Linked DNA regions of Caenorhabditis elegans. The protein of the gene in region 2 interacts with the protein of the main gene of each other region in a biochemical or structural test. Each region holds a gene or a part of one and is shown on either strand. Other genes may lie near its edges.

The links. Proteins that work in one complex are often made in the same cells at the same time.
Region 1: the proteins of sel-8 (region 2) and lag-1 are reported together in a solved structure, tested with the Caenorhabditis elegans proteins (one study listed by BioGRID).

The regions. Positions count from the first base shown.
Region 1 is NC_003282.8:6,097,940-6,105,907, forward strand, and holds the start of lag-1 (Suppressor of hairless protein homolog), read left to right. Parts: upstream 1-3,648; intron 3,649-4,777; coding exon of another isoform or gene 4,778-4,843; intron 4,844-4,898; coding exon of another isoform or gene 4,899-5,037; 5' UTR 5,038-6,397; coding exon 6,398-7,160; intron 7,161-7,968. UniProt on the Caenorhabditis elegans protein: Transcriptional regulator that plays a central role in lin-12/Notch and glp-1/Notch signaling pathways, involved in cell-cell communication that regulate a broad spectrum of cell-fate determinations.
Region 2 is NC_003281.10:3,621,918-3,630,104, reverse strand, and holds the start of sel-8 (Protein lag-3), read left to right. Parts: upstream 1-2,962; 5' UTR 2,963-2,984; coding exon 2,985-3,040; intron 3,041-8,187. Other genes in the region: mrps-31 (Small ribosomal subunit protein mS31), read left to right, coding at 21-182, 229-663, 1,502-1,865. UniProt on the Caenorhabditis elegans protein: glp-1/Notch and lin-12/Notch proteins promote signaling by recruiting lag-3 to target promoters, where it functions as a transcriptional activator, probably as part of a complex with a Notch intracellular domain (NICD) and the transcription regulator lag-1.

The DNA.
Region 1 (7,968 bases), on a different chromosome or scaffold from region 2:
ATACGACATTCAAAAATTATTTTGGTACTTTTCCTTTTCTACCCCGCATTTTCAGAAGAATATTCCAATCATTGAATTATTCGAATTTAATTCTCACGTGAATGTTCATTTTAATACTATTTTCATTTTTAGGCTTAGAAAACAACATTACTAAGCCTAAAATAAAAATTAAAAGCTTTCCATTAATTCGTAAAGAATCATACCTTGATTGACAAAATATCAACAATCAACGGAGAACTTTCCTGCTCTTGCTCTCTTCCTGTTATCAACTTTGAATTGTTATCATAGTTTTCCCGTGTATATTTCTCACACAGTTCTTATTTTACCGAACCCGCCGTCCTGCCCGCCCATATTCTCGTTCGTTCTACGCCGCGCCGTCTTGTGTGGACATTTTCCCACCGACGCCACCCTCGGCGGTTCTTTTTTTCCAGTCACACACTGATTTCCATATTTGTTTAGCTGGTATACATTTTCAAAAAATGTCATGACTGAGGTGTCGCTGGCGACGGCGGCGGTCAGTACCAGTCAGTTTCTCAATGTTTTGATGTTGAGGTTCCCATGATGCTCTGGGCAATTTCGCACATGACGCGGTGACGGTCGAATTTTTTGATTAAAAAAAATATCTGAAAGATGCTTTTTCCTGATTTTTGAAGAGCTATTTATTTGGATACAAATTGGAATTTCAGTTTTTGATTTCGATATTTTCTCTGTAGAATTTGAAAACTAGTTATATATTCTATGCCAGTATTTGAATTTTCTACATCGTAATCATATTAAAGCTGGAATCGTGAAGGCAGGTCTCGTCACGATCTGGGTAATAATAATTCCTCATTAGATTGTACAAAAAATTTGAATTATTCCAATCCTTCACACCTCTAAGATCATCCTCTCGTATTTCAAACTTCGCCTATTTATCAACCATTCCAAGGAACATTACCTTTTCGTGGATACATGTTGCATTTCTCTTCTTTGATTCTCTTTTCTTTTATGTTTACTTTTTCTGCGTTTCTTCTCACACCTTCTCCAGCAGCTCCTCTTTTACCGATTACCCAACATGACCCCGTCGTCTTCTTTTTCTATTCAATATAACAATTTTATGTGTCCGTGTTTGTGTGCAGCAGCAGCAACACTTTCCTATCTCATCACCTATTCCTTGACGACCGTTGATGATTCTTCACTGGCTTCTAGTACTGTAATAATTAGAGACTCGAATCGTCGTTATTTCACTGTAAATTTTATAAATTGTTCCATACTTTGCACCTGCACCGACACACAATCCGAATCTCTCGGTGCATTAGAGGTGGTAAAAGTGTCCGATTAGATTGGAGATTAAAATAGTTATTAGGCGTGAGAGAGAGAGAGTGTCGGTTGGTTCAAAAAAGGAGTTGTGTGATTGACTTTTTGAATAAGGAGGTTTTTTCAAGCCGAGCAGTTGTTGAGCTGAATAAGAAAATTCTTTTTTTTTTATTGGAAAGACACAAAATTGTTAAAAGTTGCGCAGAAATCCAAAACTCTCTTTTTTAATGAACAATTAAAGTTAAAAAACACGAGACTTCACTCAAAGTAAGAAAGTTCGTTCCCCCTTTATCGTATTTCAATTTTCTTGTCTTCTTTCATAAATTCCCTTTTTAGATCTTTAAAAATTATACATATAAAGGTAAAGGAAGTATCCGATCAGAAAAATTCGATAATAGACCCCATTTCAATCTGGGGTGTGATTTTCCGTGTTCCAATCGGCTTTTTAGTACTTTTTGGAAATTTTCCTCCTTTCTCTAAAATAACGGTAGTACAGAATAAGGAAATTTTTTTTTAATCCAGAAGCGGCCAGCCAACTGTATAGGAATTTCAATTTTTTTTAATGTGCTGAACAATTTCGAAATCAAAAAGACCCTACTCTCCAGCTGATTACAATCATCTGATCGATGTCATATTTCTTTTCCCAAAAATAATTTGTCTTGTTTCTCTAATTACTCTTCTCTTATCATCACAATCTCTCACGTTTCTTCTGTCTCACCAATAAAAACGGGGGAATCCCCCTGCAGGTTCAAGTTGATATCATTAGAAACCTGTTTTTCACGCAGTCAATACTCTTTTTTTTCCCTCGATAAATTGATCATTTTCTCGGCTTTGGGCGTGGAAATATTTTCTGCAATAAGATGTGTTGAAAAGTCAGAAAAAAGAAAGTGTTCATCCCGCCCGTTGTCGTAGATCATTTGTTTTATGGCAATTTTCATCATCATTTTGTAACCGTCTTCTTCCTCCTCTTGCGCATCCAATCCACATATCACACAAAAATGTACAATACGAAAAATAGGTCGGTCTCTTCACATTTTCATCACCAAAAAAGTGTTTTTGCAGAGAAAAAAGTGGTGATAAATGTGGAACTTATAACTGTAAACACATTTAAACGAGGGCGGCGAAATTAGATATCAGACATATACGATACAAAAAAAATTAAAAAATCTGTGTGTATTTTGTTTGTAAAAAAATAAAATAATTGCGAGTGCATTTTTTTCAGATTTGAGGATAAATTTTAGAATTCATGGAATTGGAGCATTCGATAGGTCGAAAGGAAAGTATTTTGAGCATTCAATTCGTTATATCAGTTATCCGACTCAAAGCAATTTGTTCTACTTTAGAATTAACGCACTTTTTCGATTCTGAGAAATTTATTCAATTCGAGCTTCTTTCTGTAATCAGATTTTACCGCAATTTTTCAAATCTTTTTTGCTCTTCTTTTCCATATTAGCATTGTTCGTCTCAAAATTTTATTTTTGATTTCGAAGGCTAATTTCTTCTTTCCCAAAAATTCGTACTCATCTATGACCTTTTACAGTATCAAAGAAACATATATGCATTTAAAAATTATTGAAAAAAACTGTTTGAAAATCTCAAAATTTTGTCATTTTCAAACTTAAAACTCGAAGAACATTTGAAAAAAATACAGTATTCGCTTCAAATATAATCGTTTTCATGATCGGATTCTCTCAGAATTTCATCTTCAATCTGAAAATACTAGATTTAAGTGATTCCGTGGATCTTCTATTCTCGTTTCAAAGCTTCACACTCCTGCTTTTTTAGTTGTCCGATCTCTTGTTTCTTACCATATTCCGACATAAAAATCCCGCCGAAACCCATCAAACTTCTTCTTCTCGTATACGAATATAATATGTGTGGGTGCTCCGTTTTGTCGCACAAGTACCGTACCTCTGCTTCCTTACCGATATTCTTTTCTCCGAATCGACGACAAAATTTAATGATCGATTCGGAGGCGGAGGTCGAAGTGGTGGGAATAGAAGTGATAAAACATACGCACACCTCCCGATTTTGTCGATTCTTCGTGTATGTGTCTCCCCGGCAGTTTCATTCTTCTTCCGAGAGCATTATATTCGGAGGTGCTCCCTTTTTGACACGTCCCTCTAATTGTTTAAAAACCTCTTTGGATAATTTCCATGAAGTTTTATTAAAGTTTTAATTTTCAGACTGGGTGAACCCGCACGAAATCTGGATAAGTTTATAGGTAAGTTCGTAATCAATCCATCGAAATTTCAAACAACGTATCATTGAGTTCCAGAAGCAATGTTCCAGTCGGTATCGCCGCTGGCCGGTGTCGCTGCAGCGCCGAGCCAAATTGCCGCACTTCAACAGGTGAGATTTGATTTATTTTGGTAGTAGAAATCATCAGAAAATTCTAAAAATTCGGAAAATATCAAAATTACAGCAATAAATAAAAAATTGAAAGTAAAAATGTCATGTTGCCCAGTTAAAGGGGTATTAAAGTTTACAGTTTTGGTCAAATTAACTAAAACTCGCCCGAAACAACTGAATTTTTTCAATTTTTTCAATTTCATAACGAGACTTTTCAAAAAATTGCCGGTTTTTTTTTTGAGAATTTTCGTTATGAAATTGGTTCGTTTCAGGCCAGCTTTTGTATAGTTCGGCAAAAACTCAAAAAATCTACTCCCCCTTCGAAAAAACTTGACAATAAGTTTCCGATTTTCAAGAAAAAAACGGCGCATGGAGTAGTATTTTTAAAATTAAAACACCTAAAAATGAGAACTGAACTATTCGCTAAAAAGTCGCTGAAACCAGCGGCAAAATATTAAAAATCCCAAATCCCTACGGAAAAATTCAACAATGGGCTCTATTTTGGTCACTTCCAAAAAGTCGAATTTTTTTTTATCATTAGGCCCTTTTTTCCTTCCTTTCATATTATAAGAATATTCATTTTTAGATATGTATTTTGAGTTTTTTGCTTAAATATTCTCAGAAAAAACCGTTTCTCACAAAATTTCTCAAAATCATTTCTAATCGAATCAATCAATTTTCCCAGTCCCCCGAAGCACGAAAAATATTCACAAAAGCCTTTAGTTTTCTCCCATAACATTTCTCGTATTGTCGCTGGGACTCACTTTTCAGATATATAATGTTGAAAATAAACTTGCATCAATATTTCAAGAGAACATTTTCTAAATTTGTATTTCCCAAATAGTTCCTATTTTTGAATTCCTAGTTTTTTATTCATTAAAAAGTTACAAACTGGAAATTTTTCTAAGAATTTTTCAAATTTCAATATTTTGGGCAATTTTAAATTTTATAAACTATAATTATTAGTTATTTGAACTATATTAGAATCTAAAATAATTTAAAATAGACAAAAAAGGCGTACGGAGATGACCTGTAATTTCCCAACGTCTGCATTTATTGATTGTCACCCCATTGTGTTCGAGTTCAAAAATTCGATATTTTTATCAACTTTTGATTTATTTTATTTCAGATACAAGCGTTGATGACATTTCAAATGCAGCAGAATAATTTATTTCCCAAAATTGACACTATATCGGTTAGTTTTCACTAATAAATTCTTATATTTTAAAATGTTATAATATCAATTTCAGAAATCGCCAACTCCAGAACTCGCATCTCCATCGGCAAAACGAATGAGACTTTCTCCCAGTACGAGTAGCCACAGTGATGTCGCATCAACTTCGAAAGGAACAAATGGGCAAGATCAGTCGAAAAATTCGCCGACAAATTGTGAGTTTTGGAAATTTTCAAAATTAAAAAATATGTAAACTTTCAAAATTCATGTTCTAGACCATTTTTTCCCCCCAAAAAAAAGTCGTATCAGATACATTTTTCTGATTTTCCCTTGCAAATGTGTTCTTCCAACTGAAATTTCCCTCAAAATTTTTCCCTTTCCCTTGTTATTTGGGAAACTGAAAACCGCCGAATGGTGAGAGTGTGAGCGCGCGTGTGCTTCTGTTAGCTGCATCGACTGGTGGCTAATTCATAAGCCCACTCTCTTTTCCCGTCGAATTTTCCCACGTCGATCGATAATTTGAGCAGTGCCGACGGCTCAGCTCAGCTCTCCCTAGACTTCTTGTGTGGAGCTCTACGATTTCTTGATTTTCTAATGATTTCTCTCTCGAAGCACGAAAAATTCGAGAATCGCTTGATGGGGAACTTGTTTTCATTATGATTTGGAAATCAACGGAAAACAAAAAGGAAGAGACCGACACAGTTCTGTGAAATAAATATAGAAGTGAATAAAAATATGCATAGTTGTCCATATTCATGTGGGAACTTTTGGTGCTCATCTCTATTTGACAAGAGACCACAAGGAATCGAGTTACGCAGATGGTTCACTTCACACGAATAATGATAGAATGAAATAGATCAAAGACAGAGAGCTATCAAGGAAAAGTACTGTACCTGGTCGACAGGTGCCTGGAGGTACCATCATGCTCTTTGAATTGAGCACACAGTGGACAATGGCCGTAGTGCAATTTAAATGAGGTGTATTAGTCAATAGAGAAGATAGTAAGAAGTTCCCTTTGTAGGTTGACTCGACAGATATGATTTAATTCGGATGTCTCCAAGAATCCAGAAATTCCGATTTTCCATATATCTGAATGTGCACTCTTCCCTATCAGTCATCCCCCGAGAATTTTCCCCAACCAACCAACCCATCGATTTTCACACGAAGATTCACACTCATGAATCACTTGAGATCCTCTTGTCTTATCGTTATCCCATAACTTTCTTGACTCTTCTCGTGTGATGAGAGGCACCACCACCACGACGGAACGCAACAAAGAGATCACCTGTGTATACACATGGTACATCGGGAAGGCAACAAGTGAGGATTAAGATTTAATGTAAATGAGTGAAAGTGAATGAAAGCGACCGTTACTATATTAGGATGGTTCAATTTTGAACGTCTTTGTTTCCAGATGCCACTCAATTAGCGTTCACCTATTCAGTCATGAAATATCCGAAGAGCTCAACGCTCTCTCTCTCTGATTGGATACTCTGACTCCGCCCATCTACCAGTTTGTCTTTCTGTGTGCTTTTCCATCAGAAAAAGCTATAGACTATATGAAGAAGAGAAAGAATGTTTTCGTGGAGGCGTGGCGATTGTGAGTCGCAGAAGGAAGAAAACCGAAGTGAGGAAAGGAAAGGAGAGGAGACTATTCGTTTTCCCACCCGCTCTCCTTTTCATTGTGTGCTCTTCTTGCTGACAGACGGCTTCGTTCTTCACAAACCCACAGCCAGCCCCACCGTCGGTTTTTCCCCCACAATATTCAGCTTCTACTATTCTCGGTGGGAATCTTCGCATCGGATATCCCACGACGAGAGCGGCTTCTGCACCGCGAAGACCCCCCTTCAAGACTCGACTTTCACGCGCCACCCATCCACATCGGTCCCATCGTCGCCCTCAACGCCAAGACACTCCGGGATGGATTATCATCAGTCGTCTTCGGTAGCTTCTTCCGAGTCGACAGCGTCTACAGTAGCCGCGGCGGCGGCTGCTGCAGCTGCTGCATCACTCAATCAGCATCATCATCCACATCTATATTGTGATGATGGACTTCTATCGAGAAGTTTAACTGATATGGTATCATCTGGTGGATATGATAGCTCATCATCTTCTCTAAGTGCAGCTGCATCAATGTGTTATCCGACTCCTGATGCATATTACTATCATGCTCCACCACCACCACCTCCTCCACAAGCACAACAGGGATTCAGTTCAACAGACGCGTGGCTTCAAATGCAAATGCAACCCACGTATCATAACTTTGGCAGTACTGTCGTCTCTACCAATTCCCCACTTCCAAGCCACCTTCTCAGTTATGGAGGACAACCAGCATTTGGTGAGTGAAATTAGTAATAAACGAGGTATTAATTGGATTACGTAAATTCTGAGAATTCGTATTTTGCAACTTGTTAGCCGAAATATCTCGTATAGACAAAGCGCTACAGTAGTCACTTGAAGAATTATTGTAGTTTTCGCAACAGAGATGTAAGCTATTTAAAAATGAAGTGAAATACTGATAGAACTAGTATAACAAGTACAATAACCTAAAAACTTGTTCTGAGATAGCTCAACTCAATCTATAAAGTCAAAACATTCCTAACACCATTATCATGTGATAATTTTTCGAATTTCTCACCCTTATCAGTCTGTAATAAACTATTCACATAAATAATTTTACTAGTAGTTCGCATCTCGTTTGAGGTCTCACTGAAAGGGTTCCGCACTGTGTGCCAATACTATTTTATTATAATGGGCGCACGTCGCGGCAACACCAAAAAAGAATCAAAATTATGCACAACGGCTCTCCTGTGGCGGCTAAAAGACCGGGCGCCACCCACATCGTTATCATTCTCCTGTGTCTCACACACACATTCATATTTAAAACGACAAGGCCACAGACATTGGTTTTTATTCAATCCCTATTGTATTACCTCTATCCCATCCCACATTGAACATTCCTCTCGATGCTCAACCCGTACTATTCGTATTATCCCTATTACTATGGGGTTGGTGGGGCTCCGTCGTCTTCCAATGATGTGCCAACTAGTGTGATATCTAGTACCACTAGCAATACAGTAACTGCATCTGATGGTGTTACACTCACGAATCTCGAAGCACCGAGCTCCGTGGCACCACCGCTTGCT
Region 2 (8,187 bases):
ATTCAAATATAACTTTGCAGACTAAAAAATACATTGATCAATCGATTAGTAGCAAACGAAAAAGCGAGTTTTGATGCTGCCGCAGCTTCTGCAAGCAGTGAAATGCTCGATGATCAGGCACTTATCGGACTTCTTGCCGATGTGGCGGGCGATGCCAAAGTTGAGAAGAAGCTTCCTCCCAAGTGAGCCATTTTCAATGATCCGTGACAAATTTCATTTTTTTTCCAGATCCGCTCAACTTCGACAAGAAAAACGAGGACTTGTTCTTCTCAGAAAAGAGATTTTCTATCAGGCAGTTCAAAGTGGCTTCACGACAGAAGAAGCTCGTGTCAAATCAGAGACAATTGTCAATGAAGCACAGATAAAGCTCCAAGAGCAGCGAAAAGCTCTTCTAAATGATGTTAGAGAAAAGGTGGAACAAGAAGAAGTTGAAGAGACGGAGAGAAGTGAGAAGGATCAGAAGTTGTTCACGATGGCCTTGGAATTTATGGAAAAGATTTACAAGGATGATTTGATTAGTAGTGCTGTTCGTAAACCTGTGAAAGTTGACAATGATGCTATTAAATTGTTCAATCAGAAGCCTCTAGGAATCTGGAAAAAGGGCGAAAAATATGAAGATTTTTCCCTTGGCTTCTGGAAACAATGGGATGAAAGAGCTGCAAGGTAGATATTTATGAAATCAAATGGCTCAAAATCCCGAAATTTGATAAAAATTGCTAATTTTAGCTGAAATCTCAGATTTTCTCAATTTTTCCGTTTTGCAGCGATTTGTTTCACACATTTTTGGTAATTTTTAACGTTGTTTCGTTGGTTTTTTCTTCATAATTCTATAAAAACAATTTCCAGTCGCTATGGTGCGAAAAAGTTGACAAAAACGAAGATTTTAGCTTAAACTAGTGAATTATCAGAAAAACTAAGTATTAAAAATTTTGAAAGATTTTTCTAAATTTTGCGTGATATTTTCAATTTTGTAAAAAAATTTTGTTTTAAATATTCGCATTTTCCGGCTGAAATTATCGTTTTTTCGTGATTTTTGTCTGAAATTTTATGTAAATTATATAAAAATCGATATTTTTTTCCTTTTTTCACGGAAACTAACGAAATTTTGCCGGTTTTCTAAAAAATCCAAAAAAAAATTGGATCAGAAAATTAACCATCAAAATCGATTTTTTATCTAATTTTGTTCATATTGATGATGAAAAACATAAAAATGTCATTTAAAAAGAAGAAAAATTATCATAAATTCAGCTAATTAAAAAAATCAAAAATTGAAACATCGGAAAAATAACTAATATCGAGAAACAATTTTTTTTTGATTTTCAAAAAAGGAAAACGAAAAATAGAAAATGTTTCAAGTCAATCAATTCATGAAATTTGGCATTTTTTTGTGTTGAAAAATTGAAAGAAAAATTGGAAAAATGTAGAAAAATGTTATAATTTTCTTTACTTATTTGATCATTCAAATCCATTATCCACCTTAAAAAAACCGTTTTTTTTTCAGAATTTCCAACGGCTCATTCGGACCAACAAATTCTTTCGAAGAACAAATCGAATGGACAACAAAAGGAAAACAATGGGAATATCCAATCGATAATGAGTTCAAAATGGGCGATGAATCGAATGTTTCATTCATTGATCACGTATTCTTGGAGAGACATTTACCATCATTGGGTATCCCGAAATCTGGTCCAATTGCTCATTTTATGCATTTGGTTTGTGTTGGTTTATCCAAGAATCCATATATGACAGCAGCGAAGAAGCGGGAACATTTGAAGTGGTTCGCTGATTATTTCAATACGGAAAAACAGAAATTGGTTCACAAACTTCACGAACAGGAACAGATTGCTGCTCAGAATGCTCTTTAATTTTAATTTTTTTTTAAATTTTTGTTTGAAGGTGGAGTACCGAAATTTAACCCGAATTTCGCAATGAGATGTTCTGAAAATTTCTCAAAAAAAAAATTTAGGGTGGTTCAAAAAATTTCGATGTTTTTCAGAGAAAAGCGATTTTTTGAGAAAATTTTGAAAAATTCGATTTTGTTTTTCTGAGAAAATGTAATAAATTCCGATTTTTTTCGGAGAAAATTTTTAAAAAATTCGATTTTTCCGGGAAAGTAAAAACAAATTTCAATTTTTTTTTCATAGAAAATCTGAGAATTTTTGATTTTTTCAAAGAAAATCAGAATTTTTGATTTATTTTTCAGAAAAAAACCGAAACAAAAATCAATATGCGGAATTAATTTTTAATTTTATTTCCTTTTAATGCATATTTTAGTAATATATTACGCGTTTACTCGTTGAGAGCGCACAAAATTATATAAAATTTGTGCACCCATCAATTGAAAATGTATCTAAATTAATTAAACTATGTATTAAAAGGTGTTAATTAAATAAACAACAAGTTCCGAAAGTTTTTAGGCTTTTCGGTGTAGAAAATTAGTTGAAAAATCGAATATTAGATAATTAAAATACAATTTACCAAGAAAAACGACTCTTGATAAACAATAAATTTGGAAAAAAATCGAATTTAGATTAAAAACCAAAAAAAAAACCTTAAATTGATTTTTTTGCTGAAAATACGAATTTTTCCATAACTTTGAACTGCGAAAACCTTTTTTTGAGAAATTTTCGGAACTTTTCATTATAAAATTCGAAAGTTTTGGGACATTTTGAATCTGATTTCGGTACTCTATCTTTTAATAGTGAATAGGATTTTTCTTCTTCTTTTTTTGTTTTGTTTTTTATTTCTTTAGGATTCACTTTTAATTGTTATTTATCTCTTTATCATTTTCTGTTTTTCATTGTGTACCCCCAGAGTTTTTTTTCCAACAAAATTTATCCAAAATATTTGTTTCTTGAAATTTGTTGAACAACTTGGTGGATAGATCCCCGCGAGTAAGAAATATATGAAGCGGAAAATGTATGAAAGTCTCAGAGACTCCAATTTTTGGGCTCTTTTTCAGGCATCAACTCTCATATGTGTCGATGGATGATCTCTCGGAATTCTTTGTGATTGAGGAGATGTTTATTTCGGAGCCAAGGTGCGGTTTTCTCTTTAATTTTGAATTTTCCGGGAAAAAATTTACCTAAAAATTGCCTCAATTTTACATGTTTACTCCGAAAAAATAAGCAAATTCTATGAAAATAAAAAAATAGGAAAAAATATCAAAAAAGCACAGTTTTCAGGGTTCCGTCTTATAAAAAATCCTTCTAAAAATTTCCGGCAAATCTGATATCCGGCAAACCGGCAATTTGCCGAATTTGTCAACTTCCAGTGGCTTTTGAAAAAAAAATTTCAATTGCTTTTTCGTATAGAAAACTGGATTTTACTACCTGAAAAATTGAATTTTAGATAATTAAAACTATATAATTAAAATACAATTTACCAAGAAAAACTACTCTCTTGCTAAAAAATTTTGGAAAAAAAATCGCATTTAAGAAAATTGAAATTTTTTAATTAAAATTAAATTTACCAAGAAAAATCACTCTATTGATAAAAAAAAATTTGAAAAAAATCAAATTTTGTTTAAAAAACCAAAAAAAAAATCCAGCAAAATTTGCAGCAAATAAAAATAAATTTTTTGCTGAAAATACACAATAATTTTTGATGAAAAGTTGAAATTAGCGAGAAAAATATAAAATTTTTTATACTTTTAAGATTTGTTGGTAGCAGAAAACAAAAAAATTCCACTAAAAAATGCCAAAAAATTTAAATGTTTTTTCCCGAAAAATTGCTGAAAAAATTGAATATTGTTTTGAATATTGACAAAAAAATTCAAAAGGAGAAAATAGTTTCAATTTAAAAATTTGAAATCACATACTTTTTTTTTGTAACATTTGGTGTGATTCATGATTCCCAACTTTGAAAAAAAAAACCATGAAAGTCTATAAAAAACCTCGTGTCGATTTACGCAGCTCGTGTACTCCCCGAGGATTTTCACCAATTCTTGGTGCATTTCCCATTCAAAGCGTAATTTTTGTTCTATTTAAGAAAAAGCCTGTAACATTGCCGAGAAACCTCGAAAATTGAGCTAGTTTGTCCTTCTAAAATTGGTTCTGAAAATATATTATTATTTTCTTTTTTGAGAAGTTGACCCTAGACAGTGTTCCTTGAAAACTCCTATTATCCGTATTTACACACACTTTTCCTAGAAATTTTTGAAGTAGAATTCACCCAAAAATATTCATTTTCTCTATCTAAATGCAATCTAAATTTCACCAACTTTTTCATTTTTTGTTCAATATTTCATCCATCTCCATCTCCTTCACTTCGACAGAGACAACGGAACCAATTAAAATTCGACGATGGCGCCCGTCCGGGACTAAACTGCCAAATCATTTATGTGGTCGTTGTCGCCTCTTCTCATCACGCACCTCCAATGCTTTCGTCCTTTTGACTGACTTTTTGATAACCTGTCCGCACTTTTCAGTGTAAATGTCTATGTGAGACAATTGAGTGAAATTCTTAGATGAAATTGAGAAGATTGAAATTGATTTGAACCTAAAAACTTGCATTTCATTGTGAAGTTTTTTTTTTTTTAATTTGAAGTGCTCTGCAAAATTTTGGTATTTTAATTATTTTTGCAATTTAGAAATTTCAAGCAAATTTTAATTCCGGCAATTTGCCGGTTTGCCGATTTGCCGGAAATTTTAAATTCCGGCGAATTGCCAATTTTTGTTTTTGCCGATTAGAATTGAAATTCTCATATTTCCAAAATGCAAAACCACAATTTGCCGAAACTTTTCTGCAATTGCCGTTTTTCCGGCAAATCGGCAATGTGCCGGTTTGCCAATTTGCCGGAAATTTCAATTCCGGCAATTTGCCGATTTGCCGGAAATTATTATTTCTGCCAGTTTGCCAGAAATTTTAATTTCTGCCAATTTGCCGATTTGCCGGAAATTTTCATTTCTGGCAATTTGCCGATTTGCCGGAAATTTTCATTTCTCGCAGTTTACCGGTTTACCGATTTGGCGGAAATTTTCATTTCTGCCAATTTGTCGATTTGCCGGAAATTTCAATTCCGGCAATTTGCCGATTTGCCGGAAATTATCATTTCTGCCAGTTTGCCAGAAATTTTAATTTCTGCCAATTTGCCGATTTGCCGTGAAAAATCGTTTCCCATCCACCCCTGCCTCGAATCTCTGCAATTTCCAGAATCTTCTTTCTAATGCTCTAGATTTTATCTCAAGTCCTCTGGTTCCACCTGTGACCTCTATAATTACCGGCTGCCAATAACTGGCTCAGTTCCAGGAATATTCATTCCAAAAAAAGAGGCATTGTGTCATAATTGCACACACCTGCAACTCGCTTTTTTTTGGATTCGTCCATTTTTGTAATGTGAAAAACTTTTTTTTTTCAAGTTGAAAATGAAGGACACCTGGCTATCGTATCCATATTTGTAGGTTTTAGTAGTCAGAACTCTCCATCGGTCAGATTAACCAATTTTTTGAAAGAATTGTAATTTTACAATTCTAAATTTTCAATTAATTCTGCCATGGTTTGTACAATTAAATTGCTATAAAAATTTAGATTTTCAAAGTTTTGTAGAGACATCAGTTAACAATTTTTCGATAACGTAAAAGATATCTGAGTAGCAAGCTTCACTTGGTGTGAGAGTGTCCCATTTCGGGTTGATCTACTTAGATCTACGAGAATTGCGGAAATTTAGACGAAGACTTCTCAACTTTTCATTTCACAGTGCTGACGTGAAGTTTGAGCCACCGAGCAGTCTAACTGAAGTTTTTTTGGGATTCTATCAGATCCAACAGTTCATACAATGCTTTTTCTCAGGATATAGCAAGTTATGTTCTCTATTTTGCACAGTAACTTTTTCTCCAGATCTAGACTTTCCAGACCATTTTCCAACATCAAAAGTACCCGAATCTTCCCTGTGTATGCCAATTGAGTTGATCCGGTTAATACCTCCTTCTCGGCAATTTCATCTTCTTCTTCGATTATGACGGCCCTTTTTGGAGGGTGTACCACACACATACACAAACACGTGCAGGTGTCGTTTGCCATGCTGCTGCGTCTCTCAATATTCAACACACTATCCATCGATCCATCGGCTCGCTGCATATAACTCGTACAGTGTCCATTCCTTCCTGTCTCTCTCCTTCTCTCCCTTTTACGGGCGGTGTGTCTCCATACTATCCATCCGTCTTCTCGTCGCTCGCTCCATAGCTGCAGCAGCAACGAGGCGATCACGGTTTGTTATTGTTGCAATTTGGCCTCCTCTTCGTCCCGCATACAGTTGGGTGAGGATGCCACGATTATGACCTCCTTCTCGCTATCTCTCCGCTCTCCGTATCGCTTTTTTGCTCCTTCTTCAACCAGTCAGTCAGATACGAGTTTGTTTATGTTTGTGTCCTCGTTTTGTGGCCCACTACGACCTGATCGTTGACGCCGTCTATGTCTCTCCGTGGATAGAAACAACAAGTAGTGACCATTCAGTTGCATGTTTCACTTTTTATAATCTTTAAGAAGGAAAACAGACAAACAAACACGTGCGCCAATTCTGCGGTTTAGTTCCGAGCCACCAGAAAACGACGACGAGAAAAACATGTGGCTTCCTATTTTTTTTGCGAACCAACTTTTTCCCCAAATATTCATTTCTTCTCGGAAAAATATAACAGGGATGGCTTTCAAAAATATTCACTCCAAAGTTGAGAATCATGGAATTTGAAGACTTTTCACCTTTTTTATGTTACGTGGCCGCGAAAAAGTAAAACTCGGCCACAAATTTTTTTCCGTCTCTGCAATTGCAAAAGTTTGAATTTTTGATTTTCTATACTCGAGCTTTTCTATTGGAAAACCCCATATTTCATCCGTCACATCCTTTTATCAGTAGCATCATCAAAGTTAGTCGCTTCTGGCTCCGGCGAGCTCCACCAATTAATCATCATCATAGCCAGTTGAAAAACGGTTTTAGAAGCCCCTCTAGTGGATGACACCGGTCTGGAGAAGCAACTCGAAGACATTTGAAACAACGGGAGATTGCGTGTCTGTGCGTTTATAAACACACACGGAGAAAAACGCTCGTCGCATCAAGTATAGAAATATGCCTCTCTTCTATTTCGTTTTCTTCGTTTCGTTTCGCTTATTCCCACAATGGGTTTAGATACATTTCTTCGGAAAAAAGTCCTTCCTTTTTTTGTTGTTTCAGCAATGCGGAGGAGGTGGTTGCTGCTTCGTCATTCTGTTTTTTTAATTCGCGAAGCTGCTGCTGCTGCTGCCGCTTCTTCTTCTCGCCAGCACATCCTACGAGACACACTCCTTTTCGTTGTCGGTGCTTTATTATTTATTCCCTTCTCTCTTCTTGCTCACGAGAAAGAGCGGCGCGACTCCGTAAATTTCTTGGCACAATCTAGTGACGTGGTCGAAGAGACTAGGTTGTCAAGTTAAAAGATTAGTGTCTCCTGTCAGACAACAACGTCATTTTATGACTACTCGTGAAATTTATGGAAGTTTGAATATAGAAATTTCTCATATTCAGCTTTTGTTTCAATTTTCTCCGAAACCGGACAACTAACATGTTTCTCCTCGTTCTCTTAGTGTTTTTTATTTATTCTCGAGAATAGATTGAAATCTGATTGCTTTTCGCTTTTTTTTGTTTTCTTCCTTGATGTCGGAGGCAAGTCGTGCTTTTTGGAAGCTGTAGATCAAGGAATGTATATTCCAAAAAAGGAGAATCAACTTGAGTAGCCAAGAAATGGGCGGAGCTTATTTCTGGATTTTTTTTACAAACAAACGAATTCTCGAAAGTTCCAAGTTACCATTTGGATCTCAGACTTTCTGGAAATTTTTGATGTATCAGGCCCATGTTGTATTAGTACAAGCAAGGCTTCCTTGTAGGCGCCAAACGCCTGCCGCGCCTGCCTCGCGCCTTCTGTATGGTGTGGCGTGGACCCGAAAAGTGTCGGCCGCGGCGGAAGAACTACCTTTCGCACTATGTAATTGGAACACCAAGCCTTTGACTTCAAGCCATATTGCAGAAATAAGACAAGAGGCCGGCGTAAGGCGGTAGGTTGAAGGCAGGCGCAAGGCCCTGACACCGCGCCTGCCTTCCAGGGAAGCCCTAAGTTCAAGCAAATGAAAGATCACGTAGATCCTAACGTCCCGAAATTCGTGGTATAATACATTTCGAAGCTGAGCTGTATGTTTTCCATGTGGCTATCTCGGTAGTTA